Linked DNA regions of Diceros bicornis minor. The protein of the gene in region 1 interacts with the protein of each later gene in a pairwise test. Links are inferred from orthologs where the notes say so. Each region holds a gene or a part of one and is shown in the gene's direction. Other genes may lie near its edges.

The links.
Region 2: the proteins of KCTD9 (region 1) and TRIM42 interact in binary tests that used the Homo sapiens proteins (3 or more experiments, as listed by UniProt). The two-hybrid records come from large-scale screens. The link is inferred for Diceros bicornis minor from reciprocal best matches to the Homo sapiens genes KCTD9 and TRIM42.
Region 3: the proteins of KCTD9 (region 1) and LONRF1 interact in binary tests that used the Homo sapiens proteins (3 or more experiments, as listed by UniProt). The two-hybrid records come from large-scale screens. The link is inferred for Diceros bicornis minor from reciprocal best matches to the Homo sapiens genes KCTD9 and LONRF1.
Region 4: the proteins of KCTD9 (region 1) and NUP35 interact in binary tests that used the Homo sapiens proteins (3 or more experiments, as listed by UniProt). The two-hybrid records come from large-scale screens. The link is inferred for Diceros bicornis minor from reciprocal best matches to the Homo sapiens genes KCTD9 and NUP35.

The regions. Positions count from the first base shown.
Region 1 is NC_080750.1:68,411,357-68,418,917, forward strand, and holds the start of KCTD9 (BTB/POZ domain-containing protein KCTD9), read left to right. Parts: upstream 1-4,534; 5' UTR 4,535-4,577; coding exon 4,578-4,625; intron 4,626-7,561. Other genes in the region: CDCA2 (cell division cycle-associated protein 2), read right to left, coding at 1,239-1,393, 2,583-2,756, 2,849-2,912, 3,084-3,113. UniProt on the Homo sapiens protein: Substrate-specific adapter of a BCR (BTB-CUL3-RBX1) E3 ubiquitin-protein ligase complex, which mediates the ubiquitination of target proteins, leading to their degradation by the proteasome.
Region 2 is NC_080741.1:12,847,336-12,854,760, reverse strand, and holds the start of TRIM42 (tripartite motif-containing protein 42), read left to right. Parts: upstream 1-4,393; coding exon 4,394-4,734; intron 4,735-7,425.
Region 3 is NC_080768.1:25,798,023-25,805,312, forward strand, and holds the start of LONRF1 (LON peptidase N-terminal domain and RING finger protein 1), read left to right. Parts: upstream 1-4,261; 5' UTR 4,262-4,334; coding exon 4,335-5,055; intron 5,056-7,290.
Region 4 is NC_080749.1:62,994,909-63,002,139, forward strand, and holds the start of NUP35 (nucleoporin NUP35), read left to right. Parts: upstream 1-4,221; 5' UTR 4,222-4,282; coding exon 4,283-4,322; intron 4,323-7,231. UniProt on the Homo sapiens protein: Functions as a component of the nuclear pore complex (NPC).

The DNA.
Region 1 (7,561 bases):
ACTCATTTTATCATTGGTAAGAAATATTTCAGTTTTTCCTTGAAATAGCAGGTTCACAGTTCATTTTTAAGAAAATGTTAGCCACATTCCCAAGTCTGATTAACCTTGATATCTGTCAGTCATGCTTTCAAGTAAAAATGATGTTCCGTGAAAAAAAGTGGCTAGCTCAGCTCACAGCTCAATCACACACGATTTCTCTCGAAACATCCACCATATTTCTGGATGTACGCTGGAAGTCCTTGATGCATAATTTGCACTTCATGACACATAATACTCAAAGGTTGAGAATTAATAATTATTTATAATCTTTATCGCTTCATCAAGGATGTTAAGTGAAAGTGGCATTATTATTATTTCCTGTGAGTGTGTAGCAGTGCTGAATAAAATGACAGTTTGATGTCACCAGTTTTACCTACCACTGCTTTTGTACCATGAATGCAAATATCAACAGTGAAAAAACGCAAATAACATCTTAGTGCTGTAACAAAAAATAGTTTTGACCTCATGGGCCTCTTGAATGGAACTCAGGGATCCCTAGGGATCTGCAGATAATCTTTGAGAACCACTGCACTGCACTATAGGCCTCACGCATGCGCTGTGTAACACTGAAAAACAAGGAAGTGGCAATATAAATACACTGTAAAGTAGGAAGGCCAATACCAAGAGTCAAAAGTAGTCGTCTTTCAAGAAAGGTAAGCTGGGGACTGTGCCTTTCATAGTAAGCCTTGTACTACTATTTGACTTTTGGGGAGCTTGTATCATTCCAATAAAAATCTGCAAAAATATCTAAATACTTCCCCATCAGCTGACAAATAATTTGCTCCCTTCCAGAAGGTTATCCCAAATACATTGTTTTCGGGGAACTCTTGCCCCTACACACCAATACATCGCAGTCACAAAAAAATTAGACGCTTAGAGACAAGATACTAAAAGAAAAAGGTTGGAAAACACTGCCTTGCTTCATTATAGGAAAAGAGACATTAACTAGAAAAAAATTTGCAAAATAAAATAGAAAGCTCCTATAGAATGCCATTTCTATCCAAGATCTCATAACTCTTAATATATCCATGCTCAACATCACCATTTATGCTAACTGCACACTCTCTGTAAAACAGAGAAAATATTCTCCTCTCCAGATCCAAAACAGATGAGATGCACTGGAAGGAAGAAACACTGTAAAAAAGCTTCATAACAGAGGAAAACATTCCCCCTAGACAGGGCTTAGAAGAAAATCATACCTGAAAAGGGGAATTCTGTGTCAAAGGAGATTTTTCTGCATTCTTTAAATTCCGCTGTTGAGCAATGAAACGAATAAGATGGTTTGTTTCAGGAGAGCCCCGGGCACCGACTGTAGAGCGTCGTCTGGATTTTTTAAGGTAGGATGATGACTTTCCTATAATGAAAACTCTTTTTTAAACTGGAATAAGACAAGGCAATCATCAGTAATCATGTCCTGATTACCCATAATGTACCAGCCTGAGAGAGAACCTGATAAACACACGGTACAGAAATCTAAATAGAAAATTATAGGCAAAATTGTTCTGATCAGCTCCATAGGGATCTTTGTTTTGTCTACTGATTTATTCCATGCTCCTGGAACAGTGCCCAGCACACAGACATTTATCAAACAGTTGTGGAATAAAGGCATGAACATATTTTACTTAATAGTTCTCATATTTTTGTTTCATATTTCCTGCACACAGAAGTGGGTAATAGCTTCCTTTGGACTAAGAATTTCTCTTTTTCTGAACTAGTCTCATCCCCAAGACTAAAAGGAAAGAACTCCACCTAGGCACATGTATTCTCTGTTTCCAGTTCTTCAAGATAATTTCTCTCTTAGATACCTACCTACCTCCAGCACACTACCCTGAATTCTGGCCAAACACCTAAGCACACAATATAAATCTAGCTTTTTAAAAGTCTAAGAGTGATGTTCTTGAGAAGGGAACATAGAGTGGCACGCTCCTCTGGTCTTGTCTCAAGCACCTATTTCCCAGCCTAGGGCCCTCTGACTTTCAAGTTCCCCATTACCCTCCATTCCTAAATGCTATTCTCTAATCTAATTCCATTCCCCTATTTCCTTCTTCGCCATCTAAGTCAGACTTCACAGGCTCCTGTGAATTTCGTTCCTACTTCTTGAAGATTAGCCTTTGGGTAAATTTTCTGTTTCTAATTTTAAAAGAGGCATACTCCAATCTTTCAGTGTTATATTTTCTTAATCACTTCAACTTTCTTTTACTTTTGTCATACACAACCACAAAATGTATTACTTTTTGTAGTATACACACTCCGGTATCCCATGTGTCTGGTCAAAAAGTGATTCATACACATATTCTTTTCCAGTTCGGGCACAGAGCACAACTCTGACTTAGGAGCATTGTCATGCTGGATGCCCGGGGGCCCTGGTATCCTGCTGCGCTAGAAGAACTGTGTATGTGCACAGAAGTCTCCTTGACCAAGCAAGTTTGCAGAGTCAATTTAAATACGTCAAGTAATAAGACACAATAGATGAACAAAACTGAGTTATATTAAAGTTATTTTTAAATTCTAAAAGCACTGCAAAGAATGACAACTTCTCTTACCAGAAGAGTTCTTTACAAAGCTGTCAGGTGTAATTCCCAAGCGCTCTACAGTTACTGAGGAAAAGTTCAAAGGTGATTTAAAACTATCCGGTGTGCAACAATTAGGAGTCACTTTGCGCGCGTGTTTCTGAGGAGTTACAAGGTTCCCATTTCCAAAAACTAAAGAGGCATTTTCTGAAACAGACATGTTGTGGAGGTTAAACACCATTCTCAAGATAAACACCTAAACCTTAAATTTCACAAGGCGGCAATAGATTACTACACACCAGCATTATTAACAGCAGACTCCTTGGTTTCAGGGAGCTTGCTGTCCTTGAAGTTGGTATCCATCTAAAAGAAGAAGAGAAAGAAAGAAACAAAAATGACCACACCGCTCAGATTAATGTGATTCTATCGAGATCCTCATGCAAGACTGAACCCTAATGCAATCGATGCTGGCATGAAAATAGATGCCAAGAGAATACCTCTGGAGCTCAAATTAAAGAGAGAAACGGAGGAAACCTGTTCAGGATGAAACAAAGCAGACCCCATACTACAAGCCACGGCTTTTCAACCTCAGCGAACATCCGAATCATCCGCGCACCCTGGGAAACACGCAGCTTTCTAGACTCGCAGAAATTCCAATTCAGGAGGTGTGGCTGAGCCCCAGAACCTGCATTTTAAACAGCCTGCGGGTGAGCAGCTCAGGTGGCAGGAGGAGCCCCACCTCGGTGGGGCAGGATAAGCAGAGCACAGTTCGAGAAACGGCCGAACCCACAGCTCTGCGGCCCGCATGTGAAGCCCCGCCGGGCCACTGCCCCACCTCTCCCGCCCGCTCGGCTCTCCTCCGCCGGGGTCCACCGCGAACACGGCCCCGCAGACGGGCGTCGTGCCGGTCGGCCTTCCAGACCTCGGCTCTTTGGTCCTAAAGGTTCGCTCGGGAAAGCGACCGCCGGAAGGCCGCCTCGTCCCCGGCCGCCGCCGCGACCGCCCCGACCCCGCAGCCGCGTTACCGCACCCTCCCCTCGACTCGCCGCCGCCCGCCGCCGGATTCAAATCGCCGGCCCCGCCCCGCGGCGTCCGGCGTCACTCTGCGAGTCTCTACGCCGCCCCCACCCGCAAGTGTCCGCGCCCTCTCCGACCTCTCCCAGGCCTCTTCCTCGCCGTCCCAGGAACAGCAGTGGCTGCCTGCGCTCAGAGAGAAGCCACCGCTAGCTGCGGGTGACGCACGGACCGGAGGGTCCGGCGGCTAACCTGCGTCCGCGGGGACTACTTTCCAGGAGTTTCGCGGAAGAACCCTTCGGTTATTCTTTTAGCTCCTCCCCCCGCCTTTCGATTGGATGCTGCAAACTTCGAAAAGAATCGTTGGACCAATCCTGACAGAACCGCAGCTGGCGCTTACCCAATCAGCCAGTCCTGACGGCAGCCGCTTCCTCTGTGGGTTGAGCAAACGGGGGTGGTTACAGCGGGGTGGTGCTGACTGGTGTGGGTCGTTTCTAGCGCTCCACCTCCTTCCCTCAAACCCCGCCTCTGTATGCAGATAAGCTGTACCTGGGGTTGGGGTTGCGCCTGCTCAGTAACGCTTTGAGACGCCGCTTGGCTCCAGGGTCTGCTCTGATTGGCTGATAAACCCTCCCGTCCGACAGAATGCAGTCTCTCTTCTCTCCGTCCACCTGGGCTGGATTAGTATGAACCCACCCAATGCAGGGCGATGATTGGCTGGGTGCTGGCCGGCCCTGCCGGTTGATTGGTGGAGCTTAGAGTCAGTCTGGGAGAGGTGGGGGAAGGGATCCAGGCGGACTGAGGAGCCCAGGGGCGGGGTGGGAAGGAGGACCGGCCAACCCCGGGGTGTGGGACGGAGAGTGCGTGTGTGTGTCTGTCTGCCGGAGAAAGAAGGTGGCGAAGGGAGGAGAGTCCGAGTGGGTGGAGGGAGGGGAGGGGCGGGAGAAGAAAAAGGTGGGAGGAGAGCCAAGTGGGAGGGTGGCGGCTCACTCAGGACCCAGTGGGGGCAGCGCGATGAGGCGGGTGACCCTGTTCCTTAACGGCAGCCCCAAGAATGGAAAGGTAAGGGGGTCGGAAGGAGGCGAGGCGGGCCCGGCTGGGGGGCGAGGGCAGCGGAGTGCGGAGCGGGCCGTCAGGGCAGAGGCTGAAGTTGGGGAGAGGGGCTGGGAGCTGGGAGGTGGGCGTGCGCCGGGGTGGGGGCGTCCGAGAGCTGAAGGTGGGTCTTGGCGGCCTCCTCCCAGCCCCGGGATTCCCAGCCGGAGCCTGCCCTTCGACTCCCCAGCTGCCCGGGGACCAGCGCAGGTCAGCTTGTGCTTCATCATTGCCAAGTCCAGGTGCGGGACAGGGAGGGCTGCTGTCACCTGAGCTCTTGGTGCTGATGTTCCTTTTTCCACCTCCTCCCCGAAGACCCCGCTGCCCCCCCCCCCCCCCCCCGGCTATAGAAGGCGCTTGTTTCCACCTTCGTGCTGAGTAATGATCTGCTCCAGAAAGTGGTGGTAACCACTAAGACATGTAAGGGTGATCAGATAAAAGAATTAAACTCTTTATCAGTGGATAAAGAAACTATTTTTCCGTCGTAGCTCGAATAGAGGATTAAAAATTAGAGACATTTTCTTGATGGTCTCCTTCCCCCCATCTTTTAGGTGCCCCGAGTCCCGCTGCCGCCAAACTTGTGTACTTGCTTTGTTGTTTCGCCTTATTTTAGTTCCTTAGAGGACTGTGACAGTAGACCAAAATGGATTGATTTGACATTACTCTTTGCTGTGTTAGGCCTTTGTTGAGGGCGTGGTACTAAATATTTTTCCAACGCTGGAGCAAGCCAAAATGAATCCTGTTCCTTCTCAGCCTCTTGCCCCACCCATGAAAGTTGGTCGGCTTCTTTGGAAAATTTGACTGTTCGAGGCAGACATATATGGTGTGGCTAAATGACGTCTAGAAGTAACTAAGCCTTAGAGACTAAGGTAAAGGTAAATTGGCCTCATTATATTATTATTTGCCAGAATACTTTGTTTCCTTCATATTTTGGAAACATGAAATTTTAAATAACTTAATTGTGCCACGATATAAAAAATGGCTTTCCAACTACTCTGCAACTTTGAGTAAACATGCTCTAAAAATTTGAACCACAGTGTAGTTTGTTGACTATAATTTTGTTTTCCTGTTTTTAGAGATTTAATATTTATAAAAAACATTCATAAAAAACAACTGAGATAAATTCAAGTTCTTGAGTTTTCATAAATGCTACTTCAAAATATGCTTCACAAGATTTACTTATTTCTGACCATTATTAACTTTTTCTAAACCTGTTTTGTCTGTTGTTAGCTGCTACTCATAATCTAAAACTTATATTGTTACTGGAAGAAAGATTTGGTATATCTAAAGTTACAATTGTAATATGTTCTCAAAAACAGACCTCTGATTGGCCTTTTTATCCATCATGTCTATGTTATTCCCTGAAAGACAAGATGTTTAGACTCAGTCATAAAGATTTAACTGTGCTCTAAATCTCTTCTGAAACTGCAGAATTTTGTTGTCAGAGATTGGTTGGGTTAGTTGTACCATATTCTTTTAATAAGGTTTTTGGGTTTTTTTAAGCTGTCTAGTTTTGACTAGGTTAGGTTTTTGGATTTAAATTTTTTTTGCTTTAAAAATATTTTGCTAGAGAATCTCAGAAAATTGGAAAAAACACATCTCAAATAATTAAATATAAATAGGTTTATGTTACAAAGATCATAAAAACCCAAACTGAAGAATACTAGTATGATTTAGTATTAAAAAATAAATCATGCCATAATCTTTACTATTCAAATGGAAAACATACTCTATGCCAAAGTTGTCAGTGTTTCCTCTCCTCTCCCTTCAGCTGATTAAAAAAAAAAATCATTACTCTTTTTTGACAAAAAAGAGCAGAATAATACATAACAGCCTGCATTTTTATGTAAATAAAGTGTATTTAGCCAGGATTGGCATGATCATGACATGATGTTAAGAAGAATGTGCTAAAACAAAGTGCTAGTAGAAAGTAGAGTTTGATTTCCCATCTACCAGTTGACATATCTGTGTCACTTTCATTATCTCCTTATTTACCTAGTTTCTGTTTTTACTTCCTGGTCATAAGAATAATATTTGTTTTTTCAAATAAGTTTCCCTCCTATAAAGCTTGTTCAGTGGTTGCCAGACTGGGCCCTGAAGCCTGAGGTTGGGGAGGCACAGAGTCACTGCAGGGGACTCTATCGTGTGCTCCCGGTGACTTGACTTCTGTATACCGAATAAACATAAGCGTAACTAGTGAATGTTTTGATGTTCAAGAGAGGCCTGTGCATTCCCGAAAACAGTGCTTTCCAGAGTGAGATGCTACACCACAGAGGATGTGCGAGAGGATCTAGTAGAGTTTGAGAAGCGATACCTTTTATTTTTTACTTAAAAATATAAAATAATATTAAAACTTGATTTTTCCAACCTGGAAAGACATAGGTGCCTTCAGTCACTGAATGTGTTAGCTGGACTTCAGCTTACAAGTGCCAGGTTAAGATTTGTATTATGCAGTTTTAACTAAACCCCTCACCAAAATGCCAAGTGGCTGTAAAAGATTGCTTCAAAGCAGTAGCAGATTGAAGATGGTATTAATTATGCAAGCGTAAGTAAACAATGAGAAAAAGCTGCGCTGCCACTTCTCCTGATACAAACTATGAGACAAAAAACTAGGGATCTCTTTGGCTCTGAGAAGAAGTAAAAACTGCCAAATTTTAAAGAAGACTATTTGAAGTCCTATTTAATAACTGCTGGTAACAGTAAACCTCTCCCTAAGTGTATATTGTTCTTTGAAATACTAGACAATAGGGTCATCCCAATTAGCAGGACATTTAAAAATATTTTCCAGCACATAAAGACAACAGTTTCAGATTTTTTTCTTTTTTTTTTTAATAACAAAGTCAATCTTATATTTGGCAGACTAAATTTAATGATAAATACTTAGGAGATTCTTACTGGCCAACTTG
Region 2 (7,425 bases), on another chromosome or scaffold:
TCATCTATATATCCAGAAATGGGATATATGTGATAGTTTCTGGATCATATGGTAGTTCTAGTTTTAGTTTTTTGGGGAACCTCCGTACTGTTTTCCATAGTGGCTGTATGACTTTACCTTCCCACCCACAGAGTACAAGGGCTCTCTTTTCTCCTCATTCTCACCAACGTTTGTTATCTTCCTGCTTTTTTGATGATAGCCATCCTAACCGATGTGAGGTGATAGTTCATTGTGGATTTGATTTGCATTTCTCTGATGATTAGTGATGTTTCACACCTTTTTATGTACCTATTGGCCATTTGTATTTCTTCTCTGGAAAAATGTCTGTTCAGGTCTTTTGCCAATTTTTAAGTTGGATTATCTTTCTTTTTTGCTCTTAAGTTGTATGAGCTCTTCATATATTTTAGAAATTAACCCCTTATCAGATATATGGTTTGCAAATGTTTTCACCCATTCCATAGGTTGCCTCTTCACCCTACTGATTGTTTCCTTTGCTGTGCAGAAGCTTTTTAGTTTGGTGTAGACTCACTTGTCTATTTTGCTTTTGTTGCCTGTGCTTTTGGTGTCATATTCAAAATACCATTCATGATAACATGAAGTCATATATATAAAAAATTCCTTAAAAATCAACAAAAAAAGATTAGAGCTAATAATGAGTTCATCAAAGTTGCAGGATACAAGACCAACATTGAAAAATCAGCTTATTTCTCTACACTAACAATGAACAATCCAAAAATAAAATTAAGAAAACAATTTCATTTACAGTAGTATCAAAAGAATAATATACTTAGGAATTAATTTAACCATAGAAGTACAAGACTTGTACACTGAAAATTAAAAAACATTGTTGACAGGGAGTCAGGAGGATCAGAGTCAGAGGAGATGTGATAAAGGAAGAGGTGTGAAGAGGTCAGAGAGAGAGAGATCTGAACATGCTAGGATGCTGGTTTTGAAGATGGAGGAAGGCGGCCGCAAGCCAAGGAATGCAGGTGGGCTCCAGAAGCTGGAAAAGGCAAAGATTTTCTCCTAGAGCCTTCAGAAGGAATACAACCCTGCTGACATCTTGATTTTAGCCCAATGAGACCTATTTTGGACTTCTGATCTCCAGAACTATAAGATAATAAATAGTATTGGATTAAGCCAAAAACAAAAACCAAAAAAGAAAATCGTTGTTGACAGAAAGTAAAGAAGTCCTATATAAATGGAAGGACATCTTGTGTTCATGGATTGAAAAACTTAATATAGCTAAGATGACAATCCTCCTCAAATTGATCTATAGATTAAATGCAATCCCTATCAAGATTCTAATGGACTTCTGTGCCAAAATGGAAGAGCTGATCCTAAAGTTTATATTGAAATACAAGGGAATCAGAATATCCAAGACAATCTTTAAAGGAAGAACAAAAGTAGAGAATTCACACTTCCCAATTTCAAAACTTACTACAAACCTGCAGTAATCAGAACAGTGTGGTTAGTGTAAAAATAGACGTATAGATCAAAGGACTAGAATAGAGAGTCCAGTAATAAACCACATATATGGACATTCAAATGTCAAATACAAAAATTAATTCAAAATGGATCAAAGACCTAAGAGTAAGAGCTCAAATACAAAGCTATTAGGAGAAAACATAGGTGTAAATCTCTAAAATCTTGGAATTGGCAAAGGTTTCTTAAATAACACCAGAAGAGCAAGCAACAACAACAAAAATACAGGTAAATTAGACTTCATCAAAATTAAAACTTTTGTGCTTCAAAGGACACTATCAAAAAAGTGAAAAGACAAACAACAGAATGGAAAAAATATTTGCAAATCATATATCTGATAAGGGTATAGTACCTATATTATACAAAGAACTCTTACAACTCAACGATAAAAAGGACAATTCAATTTTAAAATGGGACTTGAACAGACATTTCTCCAAAAAAGATATCCAAATGTCCAATAAGCATATGAAAAAGTTCGCAACATCATTAGCCATCAAGGAAATTCAAATCTAAACCACAATGAGATCCCACTTTATACCCACTATAATGGTTATAATAATAATAATTTTAAAAGAACAATAACAAGTTTTGGTGAGGATCTGGAGAAATTATAACCTCATACATTGCTGGTGGGAATGCAAAAATGCAAAATGATGCAGCTGTTTTGGAAACAGCTTGGCATTGCCTCAAAAAGTTAAACATAGAGTTAGCATATGACCCAGAAATTCTACTCCTAGGTATATAGTCAAGAGAACTGAAAACATATGTTCAAACAAAAACTTGCACACAAATGTTCACAGCAACGTTATTACTAATAGCCAAAAAGTGGAAACAACCAAAATGCCCATCAACTGATAATGAATAAACAAAATGTGGTACAGCCATATAATATACAATATACAATATATACAATGTGACCTTTTGTATCTGGCTTCTTCCACTTAGCATAATGTTTTCAATTTTCATCCATGTTTTAGCATGTATCAATATTACAGAAAGTAGATTAATGGTCGCCAGGGGCTGCAGGGAGAGGGCATAGGCAATGACTGCTAATGAGTACACAGTATCGTTTTGGGGTGATAAAAATGTTCTGGATTTAGATAGTGGTGATAGTTGCACAGTCTTGAGAGTATACTAAAAACCATTAAATTGTTGACTTTAAAGTGGTGAGTTTAATGGTAAATAAATTATATTTCAATAAGGATTTAAAAAGAAACGAAAGGAAAAAAAAACAAGAGAAAGCCTTGCACAGACCAATGATGAAAATGTACTAGAAATTCAGGAGTGAAACAAACCTCTGTACCTGGCAGGTAGAAAGGAATATTGATAAAATTGAGTTCACAAAACTCATAGGGAAAAAATGTCTTTCATACATTATTGATGTCACTATAAACTGGCACACACATTTAAGTAAGCAATTTAGTAGTATCTATCAAAAAAATAAAGCACATACCCTATGATCCAGGATTTTCATTTGTAGGAATCTAAGATCAATGTGTGGCTAACACTGTTGGTACTCAGTGAACATTCCTGTTATAAAGGTGAGAATCATAGGGAGAGATAATAAATTATGCAATAAACTACTGCAGCCAAATTCAGCTCTCATTTCTGCTTCTTTTTGGAAAAATAATAAGAGTGTTTACACCAGAGTGTTTATACCAAATGACCATGAAATTTCTGCTCTTTAATTTTATTTATTTATTTTTCCCCCCAAAGCGCCAGTAGATAGTTGTACATCATAGTTTCACATCCTTCTAATTGCTGTACGTGGGACGCGGCCTCAGCATGACCTGACAAGCAGTGTGTCGGTGCGCGCCCGGGATCCCGGGATCCGAACCCGGGCCACCAGCAGCGGAGCGCGCGCACTTAACCGCTGAGCCATGGGGCCGGCCCTGAAATTTCTGCTCTTTAACTCTTTTCAAGCTGCATAGAGTGGAAAGCAAAATTCTCCCCTAAAATATAAGGTCGTTTCTAGAGATACTGAGCATGTACTAAAAGAAGAGTTAAAGGTTCTCATGTAGAGTTCCAGCCTATTGATAAAAGGGATATAGTGGGATGGGAGGAGGGGGAGAAACAGAGCTTGAGCCTCAGCCTTGAAGCCTCCGTTTCACCATGAAGCTATAAAAAAGCCAAGAAATGTTCAGAGTAACTTATGCATGAAGACTCATGAGAAGCAGCAGTGACGATGCAGCAACTGACCAACTCAACCACTACTGAAAGAAGCGCCTAAGTGAACTTACATCTTTTTTTCCTTTAATTCTTTCTCCAAATGGTGATTCCCTTTAAATGTAGCATTGCTATCATTTGTAAACAGCGTGCTTTGTTCATAAAACAAAGAGTTCTATCAAGGCAGAAAAAGCCCAAGGAGAGGAACATCACGTCAGTCTACTTTTCCAATTAATCATACCCAGGCCTTTCAGCCTATAAAGACATACCCTGAAGTCAACTTACCCAAGTTGCAGGAAAAGCACCAAGCAAAGAGAAATAGCTTCTGAAATCCACCCCATAACCTAAAAGGTGACAAGTGACAGCTAAAGCTCCAGGATGGCTCATGGCATTAACTCTCCTCTGGAGTTGGTCCTCTGAAAGCATGGAGTGTCCATCAGCCCACCTGCCACTACCCCCCAGATCTCACCCTCCCACCTACCCAGCTTGGTGAGATATGGTAGGTAGACAGGGATTGTGACATAAGCGAATGGCCTCAGTCTGATATATGTAAATGCCAGCCCATGAGCTTCCCAGTAGGAACACAGCCTGTGAAGGCCTCATAACAGCCAACCTCTTGCAACCTCCAAGCTGACGGGCTCATCAGGGAGAGGAGGGTCCTCCTCACAGGAGAACTCACAGGAAGATTCTAGTAGAGGAGGCATCAAGAGGCCCAGAGGGCGGTGGCAATCATGTAGGCACCATGGAGACCGCCATGTGTGTTTGCTCTCCATGTTGTACATGGCAGAGATGCTGTCCTCGACTATGCTCCTGTCTGTGCTGCAAGTTCCTCTTCACCTCGGAGCGGAACTGCACCTGCTTTCCCTGCCCTTACAAGGATGAGCGGAACTGTCAGTGCTGCCACTGCACCTGCTCCGAGAACCCCAACTGCCACTGGTGCTGCTGCTCCTGGGCCAATGACCCCAACTGTAAGTGCTGCTGCACGACCAGCAGCAACCTCAAGTGCTACTACTACGAGAGCCGCTGCTGCCGCAATGCCACCATCACATTCCGCAAGGGCCGCCTCAAGAGCATCCGCATCTCGTAAGTGCCGGGCACCCAACGTGGGCCACACTGGCTCAGGAAAACTGGGGGCCCCTGCCAGCTGTGGGGTCCACAGGGAAGGCCAGCGGTCCTGCGAGTACATTTCTCTAGCTGAAAAAAGGAACCCAAGAATTTTGTAGCAATTGAGTGTGTCCTAAACAGCCACTAACCGTGGAGAGACCTGAGTTCCAAGTCCCCCATGTGTGAACAAGCACTGTGCTCCCCTGAACCTCAGCTCTCTCGTCTGTACAAACAGTCATAGCTAAGACTTAGTGCTTAAGCAACTTGCCAGGCACTGCATGCACGGCCCCATCCGACCCCCAGCACACGCCCACTGTGCAATGAGGAAACGGAGCCCTTGAGAGGGTAAGCAGCCCAGGATCAAACAGCCAGTAAGATGTGGTCAGGATTTGAACCCAAAGTCTGTGCTCTTAACTTTAAAACGCTCTGGTGCAAAATGGAGAGAACAACGCCTATCACGATTCGGTGGGTTTGAGGATTAATGTACGTGCTCTGTAGTCTGTTATGTGACATAAAAATACAAATTGCTCCTCCTCTTCCTCCTCTGAACTCTTGATATCTGCAACACTTATCGGAAAAGCAAGAACTTCCACAGCTTTTGACCCCTATGGCCTACATAAGTCCCCCAGATGGCCGTGACCTTCTGCCAGCTTTCTCTCCATTTCTATCCAGAAGTCATGGCACTGAGGGTCTCAGTTACTCATTTGGGGCATTCACTCCCTGTCTCAGGCAGTGCACATCCTCTTCCCGCTCTGACCAAGCCAGGCTTTTTATGTCACACATGAGGGGGATCTGGGAGCAGTAGGCAGGCTCCCTTGAGGAGGAACGATCAAAGCTGAGCGCTGTAAGATGACAGGATTTGGAAAGGCAGAAAAGTGAGAGGCAGGTTTGAAGCCTTTTAAGGCTGGAAAAGCCATACTGTGAGAAAGGTTCAGTGAACTCAGGGGAAGAGTATGCTCTGTCTTGCAGTTCACACTTAGTAGATGCTTAATAGATGTTACCCTCTGCTCAGGGACCTCTCATGGTGCTTGTGCGAATAGAGAACCCAGGGGTCCCGGATGCAGGTCCAGAAGCTCTGAGGTGCAGAAAGTAGTGTCCACACTCCTCTCTCCTCTCAACTGCCCCACTTTCTGCGCATCAGCAATGGAGAGTCACTGAGCCCATTTCAACAGGCGAGGGATGACATTGGTTCTTTGGGAAGATGCCTTAAGCCAGTAGCTCCCAACTGCTTTGCATGGAATCACTTGGGGATCTTTAAAGACTACTGATGCCTGGCTCCCGCCCCTAGACATTCTGATTTTATTGGTCTGGGGAACGACCTAGGCATCAGAATTGTACAGGTCCCCTCCCAGGTGATTCTAAAGCGCAGAACTGCCTGGAGGGGACAAGGAGGGAAGCTGGGAGACTTGCTGGGTGGTAGAGTGAGAACCCAGGAGCAGGAAGAACAGGGCTGAATTCGGGAGAGGGAGCAGGCTGTGCAGAGGAGCAGAGGCTGGAGATCTCAGCAAGCAGGCAAGGCCGCGGCGCTTGGAACTGTTCTGGCGCGGAACCGTGGCCACTGGATGCCCGGGTCCAAGCCTGAGCTTTCCGAGGGTGGGCAGGGATGCTATCGCAAGTGTCAAGGGGTTGGCTCTGGGCGCACTGAGGCTGATCTTCCATCTGGCCTCTCTCCTGAACCGCTGCCCTTCCTGTTCCTCACCACCACTTCCTGCTCAGCGTCTCGCTCCTCCTGCCTCACTCTGGCCGTATCCATCCCTGTCCGCCTCACTCATCTCTTCTGCTCACTTCCTGTTCCACCTGTACCCCTTCTCCCTGGGCCGTTAACACCTGTCTCTTAGCCTTGCCCTCTCTCTCTTCCTCTTCCCCCAACACCACCCCCACTCCCTCCTTCTTCTGATTTCTCTTGCTGTCTCCCTTCATGTTACACCTGATTCTCAGATTCCCACCTTATCAAACTAGAGAAGACCATCCAGCTACCCTGTGAACAATTGACCTGCATCTCCAGGTGAGCCCTTCAGGGCCCAGGGAGGAGGCTGGGAAAGCAGGGAGGGCTCAGGGCTGAGAACATTGAGGCCGGCAGGCCTGGAGCCCAGCAGCCAAATCCCTAAGGGAGGAGCCTTCCAGGTGCCTGAGTCTCCACAAGGTGCACTCTCTGCCACCACAGGGCCACTCTACTCCAACATGTCTGGGCAGCAACTTTAACTCTCTGGGCTCCGAGACATAGGTCCCTGGCCAAGGGGATGGGGAAGGAGACAGGGGCAGATGGGGACTGCAAGAAGGAACAGCAGAAGACAACACAGCCACAACATCAAGATCAACACCCAAACGTCACTAATGTGAACAGAGGAGAAGAAATAGGAACAGTCACCAATTGTGTGTCTGTTTACTCCTCCATCCCCACAGTGAATTCATTTCTTTTCATCATCTGCTTTTGCCCTGATGGTAGCTTCTTAGAACATGCACTTGAATTTTACAAGTATGCTTTTTCTTCATCCATAGTTCTTACAATTAAATATATGAAATCAGCCTTGGATATTAGACAAATAAAGAATCAACATACACACACACACAAACAGCAGAAGCACACACTTGTCATGGACTTGACCATCGTTCTCCTCTATTGTGGACATGAGCTGGCTAGCAGCAGTGGGGAGTAATTCCAGTGGCCAT
Region 3 (7,290 bases), on another chromosome or scaffold:
TGAAGAAAATAAATTGTCCTAGTGTGTTAATGGTAAATGTATTTTTGACACTAACAAGAATGAAGAGTATTAGGTGATATCATTAATTTGTGTGTGACTCATTCAACAATGATTATGTACTGGCTTCTCAGTGCCCTGAGTGCTAGAGACACATCAGTGAACAAGATGGGCAGAAATACCAGCTCTCAAGGAGCTTACATTCTAGAGGGAGGAGATAAATAATACTTATATATATTATATGTCAGATGACGCTAAGTGCTAAGGCAGGGGGAAGTAGACAAGGAAGGAGGATGGAGAGCACCAAGGGAATTCATATGTAATTAATTCTTAGAACTTGTTAAATAATGTATAAGATTTATTCCCATGTCTATTTGCTTTTAACAGCTTGATACTGGGAAATGCATTCATTTTATCAATTTGACTACCAATAAAAGAGAATATGGGTTACCTATTCCTAGATTCTTCAGAGTGTTAGAAAAGAATAAGAATGGTGCCCTTGGGAAGGGTAGTGCCCTAGAGCACTTTGACAGTGCTCCCCACTGGGATGCCAGGAGCAATGAGTAGTAAACTGTACTAGTTTAGTCAGTAGTCATTGCCTGCGACTGGGTTTAGACATCTGCTTGGCATCACCTCTATTTAACCTACTCATGTTGTCCTCATTAGGGCGTTTCACTTAGAACACTATGAGAGCAATCATATATTGTATTTTTAGCATCTTATATAAACTTCCCCACAAATGCCCAAGTTATGTAACCAGGCCCCCCCACGGGCTCTCTTCCAGCCTCTCACAGATTTACAGTAGAGGCGAGGAGGTATGTGTGTGATGGGAGATCCTTGTCCAATGACTGAAAACGTTCATGCCCCCAGATTGGTTCCCCCTGCTCTGGACAGGGCTGGGTGTGCCCCAACAAAATGTGCTTCCTGATACCCTCCTCTTCTATTCTCAGCCTTCACCTTCTGCTGTTACATTTTCATCAGGTGTCACGTTGCTGTGCTCCTGAGGCTGGGAGACTCTGCCTCCTCTCATTGTGTTCAAACAAACTCCCAGGGCTCGCCTCCAGAGGCAGAAGGCATCCAAGAGGGTGTTCCAGTTCCCTCATTTTACAGATGGCAAATGAGGCTCAGGGAGGCCAGGTGACTTCCTTGCACATATAGATGCATAAATATGGTCAACACTGGTCTCTGGATCCCCTCTCCAGTATGACTTCTATTAAACCAGCAGCTCCTCAGCTCTCAGTGTTCTCATATATGTACAACCAGGGCTGTGAGAGGTGGTCTCTCAATTCCCTTCCTCCTGTGCATTACGTATAGATGTGCTATTGGGTATGCACAGATTATGTTACACTGTAGAGTTTACTGTTTCAATGCATTGACTAGAATGTTACCAACTGCCAAGAATCAGGAAGAGGACATAACTGTGCTTGGTTCTTTAAAGCTTCAATTCAGTCTTTCTTTTTTAATGGTAAGAATGAGAAGAAACAAATGGTAAATTCACCCACGGCAAAAAAAGGAGGTTCAAATACACATCTTCAGCTGACTCGTGTACAAGAAAAGCACTCTGTTACGTGATTCTGAAATAGGAGTTTACCTCACTATATCGGGAAAAGTCTCCTTCTGGTGTGGCAGAGAATGATAGTGATAAGCATTTTCCAAATTAGGAAACAGATATGCTTTTCTTCTTACTCTCTTACATAACTGATCTATTTTAGAAGACAACACTGAAAAACTGAAATGAAATACAAATCTCATGATTTTACTACTTGGTTAACAAAGACAGAAGCAAGAAATGCTGAGAGGAAAAGAGGAGAGATTCACCCCACCCCATCCTACTCCTCCTGTCTGGGGGCTGGTTCGCAGGATTCTCTCTTCTCCATGGCAGCTTGCTGGGTGACTCAGAGACCAAAGTCCAAATTTTAGAAAATGAATGAAGAGAGATACTAATTTCTCTCTCTTCTGAATTTAAAAAGCAGTCGCATCTAAGCGCAGATCCTCTTGGGGGGGCACAGAATGAAGGGAGGGTGACCTGTTGCAGAGTCAGTGGTGGTTCTGCCCCAGACTTCCTGATTCAGAGGGAACTTGTGCAGTACACAAAGGATACAGAGGCAGGACAGCCTCTTACATAAATAAGTTACATAAATGAGAACCAGTTATGTAAATGTATAAACCAGCAAACATGAATTATAACCATTCACAAATGCCAAAGAGAACACGGCAAGATTCCTCCTACGGTCCCATTTTTTTTCTCTCACATTATCATAATCGTACCATTTTTTTTCACACCAGAATCAGATGTGGTTATTTGTCACATCTATTAGGGAAAGAACCTCCAAAGGACAAATGATCCTTCATATTATTTTCTGAACTATACATGTTACTTTTGGGGGAAATTGCATAATCAAACCTGCTTTGAACTCTATTTGATAAGAAATATAAGCATGTTTATCAATTTATTATACTTCTTGTGTAATCATGAACACACGTATTTACTGTCGTACATTTGGCAGGCTGCTGTGAAGGACAGGACTATGCATCACAAATGTAAATGTCCATGTGTATATGGATTTTTGTTTTACCACTTTATAGTTTCAAGTCTCGAATATGTAGGCATCTGATTAAAGTCATGCTTCTGCTTATTGAGGGAAGGTAGTAATTGTGGAGGCTAGGATTAGATTCAAGGTTATGCTTGGGCATTAATTCCAATATTCCCCACCTCAAGTGATGAGGAGCTGCTCTTCGGGTCTTAGCTGCAATTTGCTTCAGGTGAACATGAATGATAAATGAACTTGTCTGTCTCTGCACCCTGTTGGAACAGGAACCTCACCTTTTCCTCAGTTAGATTTGTCCTTGTTCCCTTTGGGGCAATATATCTGCATCTTCTCTGAAGTTACATGATTTGCTCATTGTGTAGTAAAAACACATGTTACTCAAAGCAGCTTGGGGCCTAACTGCCTGTTCTGTATAAAGAGGGATGGTGATTACACGTTAGCCAATTTCAGATGTAGCATGCTCAGGTTAACTTTCCACTTAGCAATTTTATTTTGAAAATCTCACGTAAAATACTTTTATCTAAGACCTAATAATAATGGAATGAGAGTTAGGTCATCTAATAAGGTCTGTATAATATTAGCTGTGTGATTTTGGGCAAATAACTCTCCCTCTCTGGGCCATTGTTTCTAACCACTTGAAAAAGGACTCAAAGTTCTAAGCAACTTCCAGCATGAACAAGCTGATACTCTATAATCAATCTATAAATATTTTCAACTGAGAGCTTTAAACTCGCTGCCACCAAGTTTAAAAGAAATGGAACCCATTATACAAAAACCAGATCAATTTTCTTTTTTTTCTGTGGGCAAAACTGCAGACCCTGTTTGGGGTGCAGTGATATGGTGACTGCCCTGTGAAAAGCCTTCCTCCTGGTGTTTTCTCTTTAAAAATGCCAAATATAGGCCTTAGCCAGCTGCGGGGCAAGGAATGAGATGTGGAGAGTACAGCCGACACCTTGGGAACCTGAAGGCTTCCTCCTTCCAGGTGGAGGGTGAGTTTTAAACTGGAAAGGCAGCAGAAACTTGGCACCAGGGAAAACTGTCTTGCCCTCTGGAGAGTCGCCTCAGGAACCTAGGTGGGGTTATTTTGTTTCTAAAGTTGGCGACTCTAAACTTGAGGACCCTGACTTTGCGGATTCCTAGGCCCTCTGCCTCTACATGTCCATCTGTCACTTGGGCATGAATTAATGAAAATGCAGACGTGCACCTTACAACCAAGACACTACAGGGGGAGGCTCCCACGGGCCTGGAAGAGGCGACGGGTCCCCACTCAGGCGGCGGCTACGTCAGGGGAGGGTTGCGATTTGGCCCTCAGTCTAACGAAGCCGGCCGCGTGACCGGCAGAAGAGCCGCCACAAAGTAGGCATTAGGGGAGAAGCCATAGCAGGTGGGGGACGTCGGGTGGAGAGGCGACAAGGATGGAGGTCTCAGCTTCCCGGGGCTTTGTTCAGCTACAAGCCAGGCCCTTCTTTCCGGAGAAGCCAATTAGATCCCCGCTGGGGGATCATCTGACCTCGCGTCCCCCACCAGGAGGGGCTTCGGCAGGGCGGGGCCAGGCGGTCGCCTCCGCGGGGACCCGGCCGCGGGCGGTGCGGGGGAGCCCCGGACGCCGCCGCCGAGCCCGCCCCGCCCCGCGCCGCCAGGCCCCGCCCCCGGGGCTTCCCGGGCGCGCGCCGCCCCGCCGTGTCCGCGCGCCACGCCCCCCTGCTGGCGGGCCGCGTGCGGAGCCGCGCGCCCCGGAGCCTCCGGGACCGTGGCGGCGGGCGGCGGCGGAGCAGCCGTCCGTGGGCCATGTCTTCTCCGGCGGTGGCGAGGGGCTCCTCGGGAGGGAGCCGGGAGACGGCCCCCAGGCCGCAGAGCCGGGGCCGGTTCTGGGAGGTGGGCGGCGGCGGCGGCGACGGGCTGGAGCGCGCGGCCGCGGAGTCGGAGCGCTGGGAGCTGCTGCTCCGGCGCGGCGAGCTGCTGGCGCTGGGCGGCCACCTGAAGGGAGCGCTGGAGGCGTACGCGGCGGCGCTGCGCCGCGGGGCCCCGGCCAGGCCCGAGTGCCTCGGCACCCTGGTGGACTGCCTGGTGCTCAACTACCGGCTCCGCCACGGGCTGGGCTGGAGCGCGACCCCGGCGGCGGGCGCGGAGCCCGGCGCCGGCGGGCTGCTCAGCTGCCTGGGCTGCCGGGGCTTCCTGAGCGAGCCGGTGACCGTGCCCTGTGGCCACAGCTACTGCCGCCGCTGCCTGCGGAGAGAGCTCCGCGCCCGCTGCCGCCTCTGCCGGGACCGGCTGCCGCCCGCCCCCGCCGCGGCCGCGGATGCTGCGGGGACCGGCCCGCGCCCGCCGCCTCTGGCGGCCGCCGTCGCCGCCTCGGGCTTCAGGACCAGCGTCGTCCTCAACCACCTGGCCGAGAAGTGGTTCCCGGGCCAGCGGGAGCGAGCGCGGGCGGCCGGCCGGCTCGGGGAGCTGCTGTGCCAGGGGCGCTACCGCGAGGCCCTGGCCGCCGCCTGCGAGGCGCTGCGAGCAGGTGACCGCGGGGATGCGGCGCGGCCCGCCGACCCCACCCTCCTTCCCCGACGGGCTGCTCGTCTGCGCCCCAGGGAGGCCTCTGTGCCCCCCGGGTGTCGGGGCTGCGGGTCCTCGAGGGTGTGGGAGGGGCGGCGCCCCTGGTGCTTTGGTCACAATGGGGATCGCCCTCGGAGCCGACTGTGACGCGGCGCCGGGAGGGGCGCCCGGGCGCGGGGTTCCCTCGGCCGCGGCCTGGCGGGCGGGCGCGTCCGAGCGGAGCGGGTGGCCGGGGCGAGGCGGCCGAGCGCGGGATGGGTGGGAGCTGGGCGAGCCCCGGCGGCCGCCCGCTTCCTGCCGCGCGCTTTCCGGTAATTGACCGATCGGGCCCGGCCGGGCCGCGTCCACCGCGGGGAAACGACAGCCGGGGCGGGGAGAGGATCCCCAGCCGAGGCGAGGCGTGCACCGTTTACCTTCATCTCCCACAAAAGTCACCGGGGCAATTGGAAGCCGCGGGAGGGCAGAGTTGCATAAGCTGGGGGGGAGGCGTTGTGTAACGGGTGACGTCCGGTGGGCGTGGCGGGAGCTGGGCGCCCGCACCCAGCACCCGAGGCCCTGCCGGCCGCTGGGCTTCGGGCGGGTGTCGGAGCTACGCGGGGTGTTCAGCTCCTACCTGAAAATGCTTGCAGAATTGGTTCCTCCTGATGGTTTCAAGCTGCCTATTTCAAATCATGCTTATTTCATAAACTCATATGTGCTTACTTTCGAATACACCTAGTTCACGGTAAGGAGAAAGAGCTAGTGTCTGATCGAGTTCTTTGCCATGCTTCCGTTGGCCTTTCCACTCTGGATCAAGCTGTGGGGAAAGGCCTTGTAGATCTTTTGACTATTTCTTTGCTTCCAAGAAGCAGCTTCGGCCTGCTAATCTAGGTTAGCACTTTTCTTAAGGTAGTTTTAGGCTGTGGCAGGGGGCATTGCCAGACTTGTCTACGTAAAAGGAAGAGTTGTTCTTTAAATCGGTGGTTCTCTACCCAGGGGGATTTTACCCCCCAGGAGACATTATCTGGAGGCATTTTTGGTTGCCACCCCTTGTGGGAGTGGTGGTGGTGGTACATTTATCGGGTAGAGACCAGGGTCGCTGCTGAACATCCTACAATGCACAGAACAGCCTCCCACACAATTATAAAATGTCAATAGTGTCGCTGTTAAGCCTTTTGCTAAATAAGCATATTTCAAGATTAGTGTCTATATTGGCATGAAATAATACTTGAGGGATAATCCCCAAGAAAATAAACATCTAAAATATAAACTGATGTTAGGTATGAGGTAAATTTATCAACTATGTTACTGAGAGTATCTTATTGTGGATCTTTTCCCGTAAGTGCTTAGTCATTTTGAACTAGTGACAATATATTGAGTTATTTAATACCTTTAGAGTTCAAAGCACAAATCTGGCATATTTTTATATTCTTTCAGTCTCTTTATGGGGAGTAGGCAGTTATAAAATAGAACAGAATGATGGACCCAGAACAAAAGAGAACTATTTGAAATACAAAATTCTGGTGCAGGCAACTCTGCATCTCTGGGTGAAGAGGGTAAGAATGGGGAAGTACAGACCATCTAGGCCAGGGTCCTCATTTTAGATCTGAAGAAGCAAAAGCTGGGGCAGTGAAATGACTTGTCCACAGTCACACAGCTAGCTGGTTGTAAAGGCAACACTATCCTCCAGTTCTCCTAAAGGTTGGACCAGGGTTGGTCCTGCCCTTAAAGCTCATCCAATGAAAACGGTTAAACATAAATTTCCAAGGAAGTTATTTTGTAGCTAGTATAAAACCAAGGATAAAACTTAATGACAGCAGTATTCAGTGTTAACTGCTGCTAATTTAGTGAGTTGACCTCTTAAATTAGGGGCTTCATAAGAATTCAGGTCCTAATCCATGGAAGAACAGTGAGCACATTTATTAAGTAAGGTCTAGATTAATGTTCTATGACCAGTAATCTTTTAATTAAGGAAGATTCTGGGCCTTGGATTGAGGATTTTATTTTTAACAGGAAAAGACTCTGAAAGATCTACTCTCTCCCTTTTTCAGTGTGCACAGACAGCGAGTGGGACTTTTGCCCATTCAGCTACTTAATCCTACTTTTGTAGGTCTAGAACCCAAGTTTCCTGACTTTCACGTCATTGGCCTATTTTCCCCTTGTTTTCAGGTCTTTAGAAAATCATTAATTTGCCGTACTCGAAAATGTGTCTGAATAC
Region 4 (7,231 bases), on another chromosome or scaffold:
ATATTTATTGAAAAGTGATAGAAATACAGAAAAGAAAAAGTTATGGTCCCTGTCCTCAAGAAAATCCATCTAGTGGGGCTGAAATTTACAAAACAAGTATCTTATAGCAAATGAGTTGTAGAAGTAGTGTGTTCTGTGATTGAGTGATTGAGGTCTGGCAGGGCTGGGGCAAGTTTCATGGTGCAAGAGACCTGCTACTTGCGGAAAGGATAGGACTTTGTAAAGGGGTGGAAAGCAAAGAGATGCTAGGCAGGGGGATGCTGCAAAGCAAGGAATACAATGTGAAGATCTTTCACAAGAGGTTGAAGGTTTGCAAAGGGGAATAATGGGAGAATTAACTGGAGCAGAAGGTTAGGGTGAAAGGGTGAAGAGACTTTATTTTTGAAGCCAGGGTTCTCAATCACACCAGATGAAGGTAGAGTGACCATGTGTATTCCCTTTAGGGGTACCTACTGAAATCTCTAAAAGAGATGCTCTACCCTCCTGTCTCAGTCTGTTTGGGCTGTTATAACAGAATTCCGTAGACTGGGTGACTTATAAACAACAGAAATTTATTTCTCACAGTTCTGGGAACTGTGGAGGCTGAGAAGTCCAAGATCAAGTCACCAGCAGATTTGGTGTCCTGTGAGAGCCTGCTTCCTGATTCACAGACAGCAGTCTTGTAGCTATATCTTCACATGGCCCAGGTGGAGGTGAGGGTGGAGAGCTTTCTGGGATCTCTTTTATAAGGGCACTAATCTCATTCATGAGGGCCCCACCCTCATGACCTAATCACTTCCCAAAGGCCCCATCTCCAGATTCCGTCATATTGGGAATCAGGATTTCAACAGATGAATTTTGGGGGACACAAACATTCAGTCTATCACACTGTCTACCCTAAGAGATTCTGGTTTCCCGCTTTCCTTGCTAGCCAGGTGAGAATGTATGTAGTGTAATGAGGGACGTTATTGGTTGGCATGCACTGCACACGTGAATCCTGTGGAGCTAAAGAAAAGCTGCTGTAGAGAACTGGAAGTCACTGAGGGTTTTTGGCCAGCCAGGTAACGTGTACAAAGTAGCTAGTGATGTGTTAGAGTTGCTGGGAGAGACTGAAGGCAAGGAGATGTTAAGAGTTGACTGCAATTGTCTAGGAATTGAGGAGAGAGAAAGAACAGGACTTGTATCTGAATGTTTGATGGCAGGGAAGGTGGAAGCCAAAAAAAGAAAAGTGGACCAGACACTGTACTAAGCATAACCACCTTTCAAAGTAGGTATTGTTTCTATTTTACACAAAATAAAATCTACAGAGATTTAGTACAAATCCAAGCAATACAAGATTTAAGCAGGAAAGTCGGGCCCTGAATTCAGGTCTGTTTGACCTTAAGTTCTGCTCTAACACCCTGTGCTTTTAATCTTCTGTTTCTAAGAGACTAACAGAAAAAGGGACAACTGGAATGGGACTGGTTTTAGGGATGGGTTTGTTTTTGAGGTTTGATGTGTTGGTAGGTTGCTTAGCATGCATCTGGAAAAGTATCATTTGGCTTTAGAGAAGGGTGGCAGACAATACTGGAAATTATTTGCATAGATGTGACAATTGACGAGGACTCCAAAGGAGACCATAAGGAATTGAGGAAGAGAAAGAAGACAAAGGCTTGACTAACAATAATATGTCCAGGTTAGAATGAAATGGGATCAGGTACGGAAAAGCCAGGGAAAGAGTAGAAAGTTGGGAGGAGAAGTAGGAAGTATAGCATCACCAAAACATGGAAAACACCCATATACAGGAAAAGATTGTCAAAGCTGTTGAATACTGCAGATGTCAAGGAGACAGGTCTAATTTGGCAATCAGGAGAAAAATAGTTGCGGTCAGTGGTTTCAGAAGAGAATTTACACAGGAGGCAGTGTTTAATGAATTAAAAAACAAAATGGTGAAGTTAAGGAAACAGACCATCTACTAAAGTCTGTAAACCTTTTTTTGAGATCTTGAAAAAAAGAGAAGAAATATGACAGAAATTAATGCATGGTAGCCAGAAGAAAGAGCAAGTTCTAGGGAAGGTTTTTGGATAGGGCAAACTGGGTCTTTTTATAATTTGATGAGGAAAGAGCCAGTCAAAAAGGTAGAAGATTGAAATGCAAGTGAAGAAAGGAAAATGACTTTCTTTCTTAAAGGAAAAAAAGTTTTTAATTTGAAGAATACTAAAAACAGTAAATAACACCTCTAATCAGCCACTAAAAATTATATAAAGTGAATTAAAGGCCCTTCTTAAGCCCTCCAATTTACAAACCCCTCTCCAACTCTATCTTTCCTGTTAATAGTTTGGCACAAATGTTTCCCAACTTCTTCCTTTATTTAAACAAGCATCTCTCTCTCTCTTTGCATCTATACCCAAATACCCTTTTTTTGTTAAATGAAAATAAAATGATGCCATATACATGTTTTCAAATTGCTTCTTTCAGTATATCAATCATGGAGATTTTTCTAGGTGAATACACACTCGTACTCACATATCAAATCCATCTTATTCTTTTTAACAGGTGCCTAATGTTCTTTTGTTTGGCTATATCATAATTTATATAGAAATTCCTTCATTGATGAACCTTTCTTGGTACCTAAGTTATAAAAATGGAATTGCTGGGTGTGGTGGGCTGAATGACAGCTCCCAAAGATATGCACACTCTAATCTCGGGAACCTATGAATGTTATCCTATATGGCAAAACGTACTTTGCAGATGTGATTATTAACTTAATCATCACAACTGGATATTGAAATGGGAAGATTATCTTGGATTATCTGAGTAGGTCCTAAATGTAATTTCTAACTACATCCCTACCTACATCCATACATCCCTCTTCTTTACAAACCTACTTCTTCATTACATACCTATATCCCTCTTCTCATAAGAGGGAGGCAGAGAGAGATTTTACTACAGAAGAAGACGGCCATGTAATGACAGAAGCAAAGAGAAGCAGTGTCAGAGAGAGAGAAGATGCTATGCCTCTGGCTTTGAAAGGAGAGGACATGGCCAAAAGCCAAGGAATATAGTTAGCCGCAAGAAGTTAGAAAAGTCAAGGAAACATATTTTCCCTCGGAGTCTCCAGAAGAAACCAGTCTTGCTGACACCCTGACTTTAGCCCCATAAGACTCATTTTGAATTTCTGGTCTTTAGAACCATAAAACATAAATTTGTGTTGGTTTAAGCTGCCAAGTTGGTGGTAATTCAGTATGACCTCATCTGAACTTAATTACATCTGCAAAGACTTCCAAATAAGGTCACATTCCTATGTACCGGAGGTTAGCACTTAAACATATCTTTTTGGGGGACACAGTTTAACTCACACGCTTGTAAAAAAAAAAAAAGATCAATTCATCTGTAAGTGGTTTTAAATTTTGATTTCTGGGAAGTTGTCATTTAATGGTGGAATTGTTATTGCCTCACTCAAATTAAAAAATTCTTGCTGGATGTGGGATTTCAGGAAATCCCAAAGGAAACAGTGACGGAGGATGGGTGGGTATTTTGAGGATAATGAGTTTGGTACGGACCAGAGAGCATCCCAGAATATAAACAACGTAGCACATCACTTTTATAAAGTTAGTAAGTGAGCAAAACTAAACAACATATTTTTGTACACACAAATATAGAATGTGTGTGTGTGTGATATTTGAATACACTCTAAAGAAAAGCACCACACCGAGGGGAGGAGGACCGTCGGGATGAGATAGGGAGGCGCACACAGGGTTCCGCGGCGTTGGTGGGTTCACGGATATTTGTTAGCCTCCGTTATTTAATATCTTTTGTATGTATTAGTGTGTAATAAAACAGTAAGTATGCGTTATGTTTTAATATAAAACTGTGCCTATAGAACATAAAATTTAAAAACGTGGCATACGGATGGTAGAAAATACGCTTTGAGAATGGAGCAGTCACTTGGAAAAGCTGACAGATAACAGAGCACTAGGTAAACTCACGCTAATTATGAAACCGTGAGTAAAAGAACTTGTGCTTCTATGAAATTCAAGCACCAACAAACCAGGAGGCTCACAGCGGGAGTAGCAGCATTCCCAGAACCATAGTTTCCACGCTGGCTGATCACCTTACCAGCGAACTGCTTCTTCCAGACGCTGAGATTGCGCAAAGATTATTGCCCTATTCCAAAATGACGGCTCCAGCGCCTACAACTTAAGTATAGCGCATGTCCGGAAGTTACGCAACCCCATAAGGTAGCGCGCCCCTACCCGTGGGGAGAGTTTCCGCCATTTTTGAAAATCGGGAAGGTCTGGGGCTAAGTGCAGTTGCCGACGCGATGGCAGCCTTTGCCGTGGAACCCCAGGCACCCACGCTGGGTGAGTGAAAAACTGCTTTTCCTCGCTGGCACTTCGATCCACGCCGTAGGCCTGGAAGCGGGCAAGACTGAAAGGCAGTAGTCACCAGGCTCTCGTCTGCTAGTTTCAGTCGCGGAGGGGGAGTCCCTGACTCGCCCCCAAGTTCCCGGGAGGCCCCCTGCCCGAGGCGTCGCCACACTGCCGCTACGAAGGCGGCTCCAGGAAGCTGCGGGCCCCGGGGAGGGTGAGAAAACGGCCGTCGAGTGGTGACTGAGCCGTTTTGTGCCCCCACACGCCGGCCGTGCCCCACCTGCCCATACCTGTGACTCTCACAGCGCCCCAAACGCGCCGCTGGGTTCCGGGGTCGCGGGCAGCGTCGGAGGGAAGAAACTGACCGGCGTACACGTGGGTGGGCGGTGCCCTGGAGGGGGGTTACAGCCACCGCTCTTTGGTCACCTAGGCTTCTAGTTCATGTTTGAGTGCTTCCCTTTTCTGGGCTTTGCAAAAAGGAATCTGTTAGCAATGGAAGCTTGAGTCGAGCGACATTTATTTAACCAGGTGATGGCAGCCATCGAGATAGTGGCCTTAATAGGAAGCCTGGAGCTCGCACCCGCCTTTATCTTGGGAAAGATTTTCCCCGCCTTTTATCTTGGGAAAGCGACCAAGTATTGTAGGAGATCTTTTGCTCTAATTAGTCACGTAATGAAAATTCATTCCATTGTTTAATGGGGAGCCTCGCTGAAATGTGTTGTCGTTGAAAGAATCGACCAAGTTAACAGGATGTCGATTTCCTTTTTGTCTGCTGAGTTTGGGGACTTGTGAGAACCGTCGAAAATTTTAGAACGGAAAATAAACCGTCTGCTATCATAGACGTATTTGAAAATTGGGTTACAACTTTCTGAGTTTGGAAAAGAGTAAGTGCGATATATGTCTGTAGAATGAGGTTTTTTTTTGGCTTTGAAGGCTATATAATGCCATATTTTGTGCAAAATAAGTTTTTTTTTGAGAATAGAGTAACGAACTGTTTTAGTGTTAGTCATAAGAAACTAAACGCATAATGTCAGTGCAGATACTCTGCTACATTTAAACTTACGTACAGATGTTGGTCTAGGTATTTGTTTTGTATTATTTTAGAGATCAGAAAACTGTTCATTTCCGGTTCCAGAGTTTTCTACTCAACAAAAACATTTTGGAGTGTGTATTTCTTAGGGTTACAAATGTGAATAAACCTTTTCCTGTTTATTGCCTGGTCAGAAATATGACATTAGCTGATATTAATTGTTCAAGTCCACATACTGCAGATATTCCAGGTGAAGAATAAACATTTTCCCAGCACCCAATGGTATGTTAAAACTAAGGGTTACTTCAACAAACAATGCCAGCTGAGCAAGGTACAGTACTTATTTTAGGAGTACAGATTGTGAAATGAAATGAAAGACTTGCACAATCCATTGGTGTAGTTCTCTTTAAGGGAAATTTAGCCTGAGGGATGGTTGATGACAGTCTGAGTCCTTTCTGTCCCCCTCACTCTGGTGCTTTCTACTGTCTCACAATATACATACAGATATATCAGAACTTTTCTTGACTTAATTCTTCTTATACTTGCCATATATATTTTTTCTTCTGGGGGATGGGAGAGTGAAGATAGTTGGTGGGACCTAAAACTTTGTGTTTATTACAGTGGGTTCCTAAATGTATGTTTGGAATATGCTTTTGTTTATGCTTTTGTGTAGTCTTTCGGTGTGTAATGTTCTTTGGAAATATGTAATAGTACCGTAGTAACATAATAACTAGCACTTCAAAATAATTACAGTGTAGTTATAGTTCTTTACACCTATTTCAGTATTTGTTTTACTCTTTTCCTGAATTACTTTGTCTTTTTCCTCTTGTATAGGCTTGCATTGTTAATATCTGGGTCTACTCTAATGAGAAATAAGAGGAAGATTAGATAATTGACAGCATTTGGATAGCAAGAAACAAATTTTTGATACTATTTAGAAGGAATGGTTAATAAAGCCCATATAAATAACATACCAAATGTTTGACTTTTCTGAGTGCCATGAGTCACATTCAGTCTTGTCACGTAGTTGAAAATTAAATTTTCGTAAGCAGAAACTGCAAATTTTACATTTATACGTTACTTAGTCAGTTTTTGCTATTATTATAAGATATTGTTAGAATAATAATAACTAATATTTGTTGAACACTTACTGTATATTAGGCACTGGGTCAAGCACTTTACGTGCTGTAATTCTAATCAGAGCTCTGTGAGTCAGGGCTACGATTAGGCCCATTTTGCTGAGACACTTGAACCCAGGTCTCTGAGTCCAGAGCCCATGTTTTCCTTACTGTGCTATTTTGCTTTGAAATTAGAGTAAGTATGACTTCCTTATTTTCATAATGGGAATAATAATACCTACCCTGTACTTGGTGTGAAGATTAATTTTGAATTGATTGTGAAGTGTCAGTTCTCTTTTTAAATTGGTTTTATATTAGGGAGACTTTTATTGATTATTTCTGACTTCAAAATGAATGATTTTTAAACATGATCCAAAAAATAAACTTTCCGTGTCTTTTCAATATGTTTCTCAGTTGGGATGCTAATCATCATTGTTACGTCATATATGCTCTAATGTGTGCATGATTACACTTTTATTACAAAAGTTATTTACAGTTTTTGTGTATGGGGAAGAAAAAATGGGACATATAGCAAGCTAAACCCATTGTGTTTGATTTGCTAAGCAACTTTGTGTAAGTAGCTAGTGCACAATGTCCTGGTTTTTGTTTGTTATATAGTAGAAGCTGACCCAGAAATGGAACGAGGTCATTCTGTATGTATTAGGGATTTTTTTTTTTAGATAATAAACTGAAGTTTTTATTTTTTATTTATTTATTTATTTTTTAAGATTTTATTTATTTATTTTTCCCCC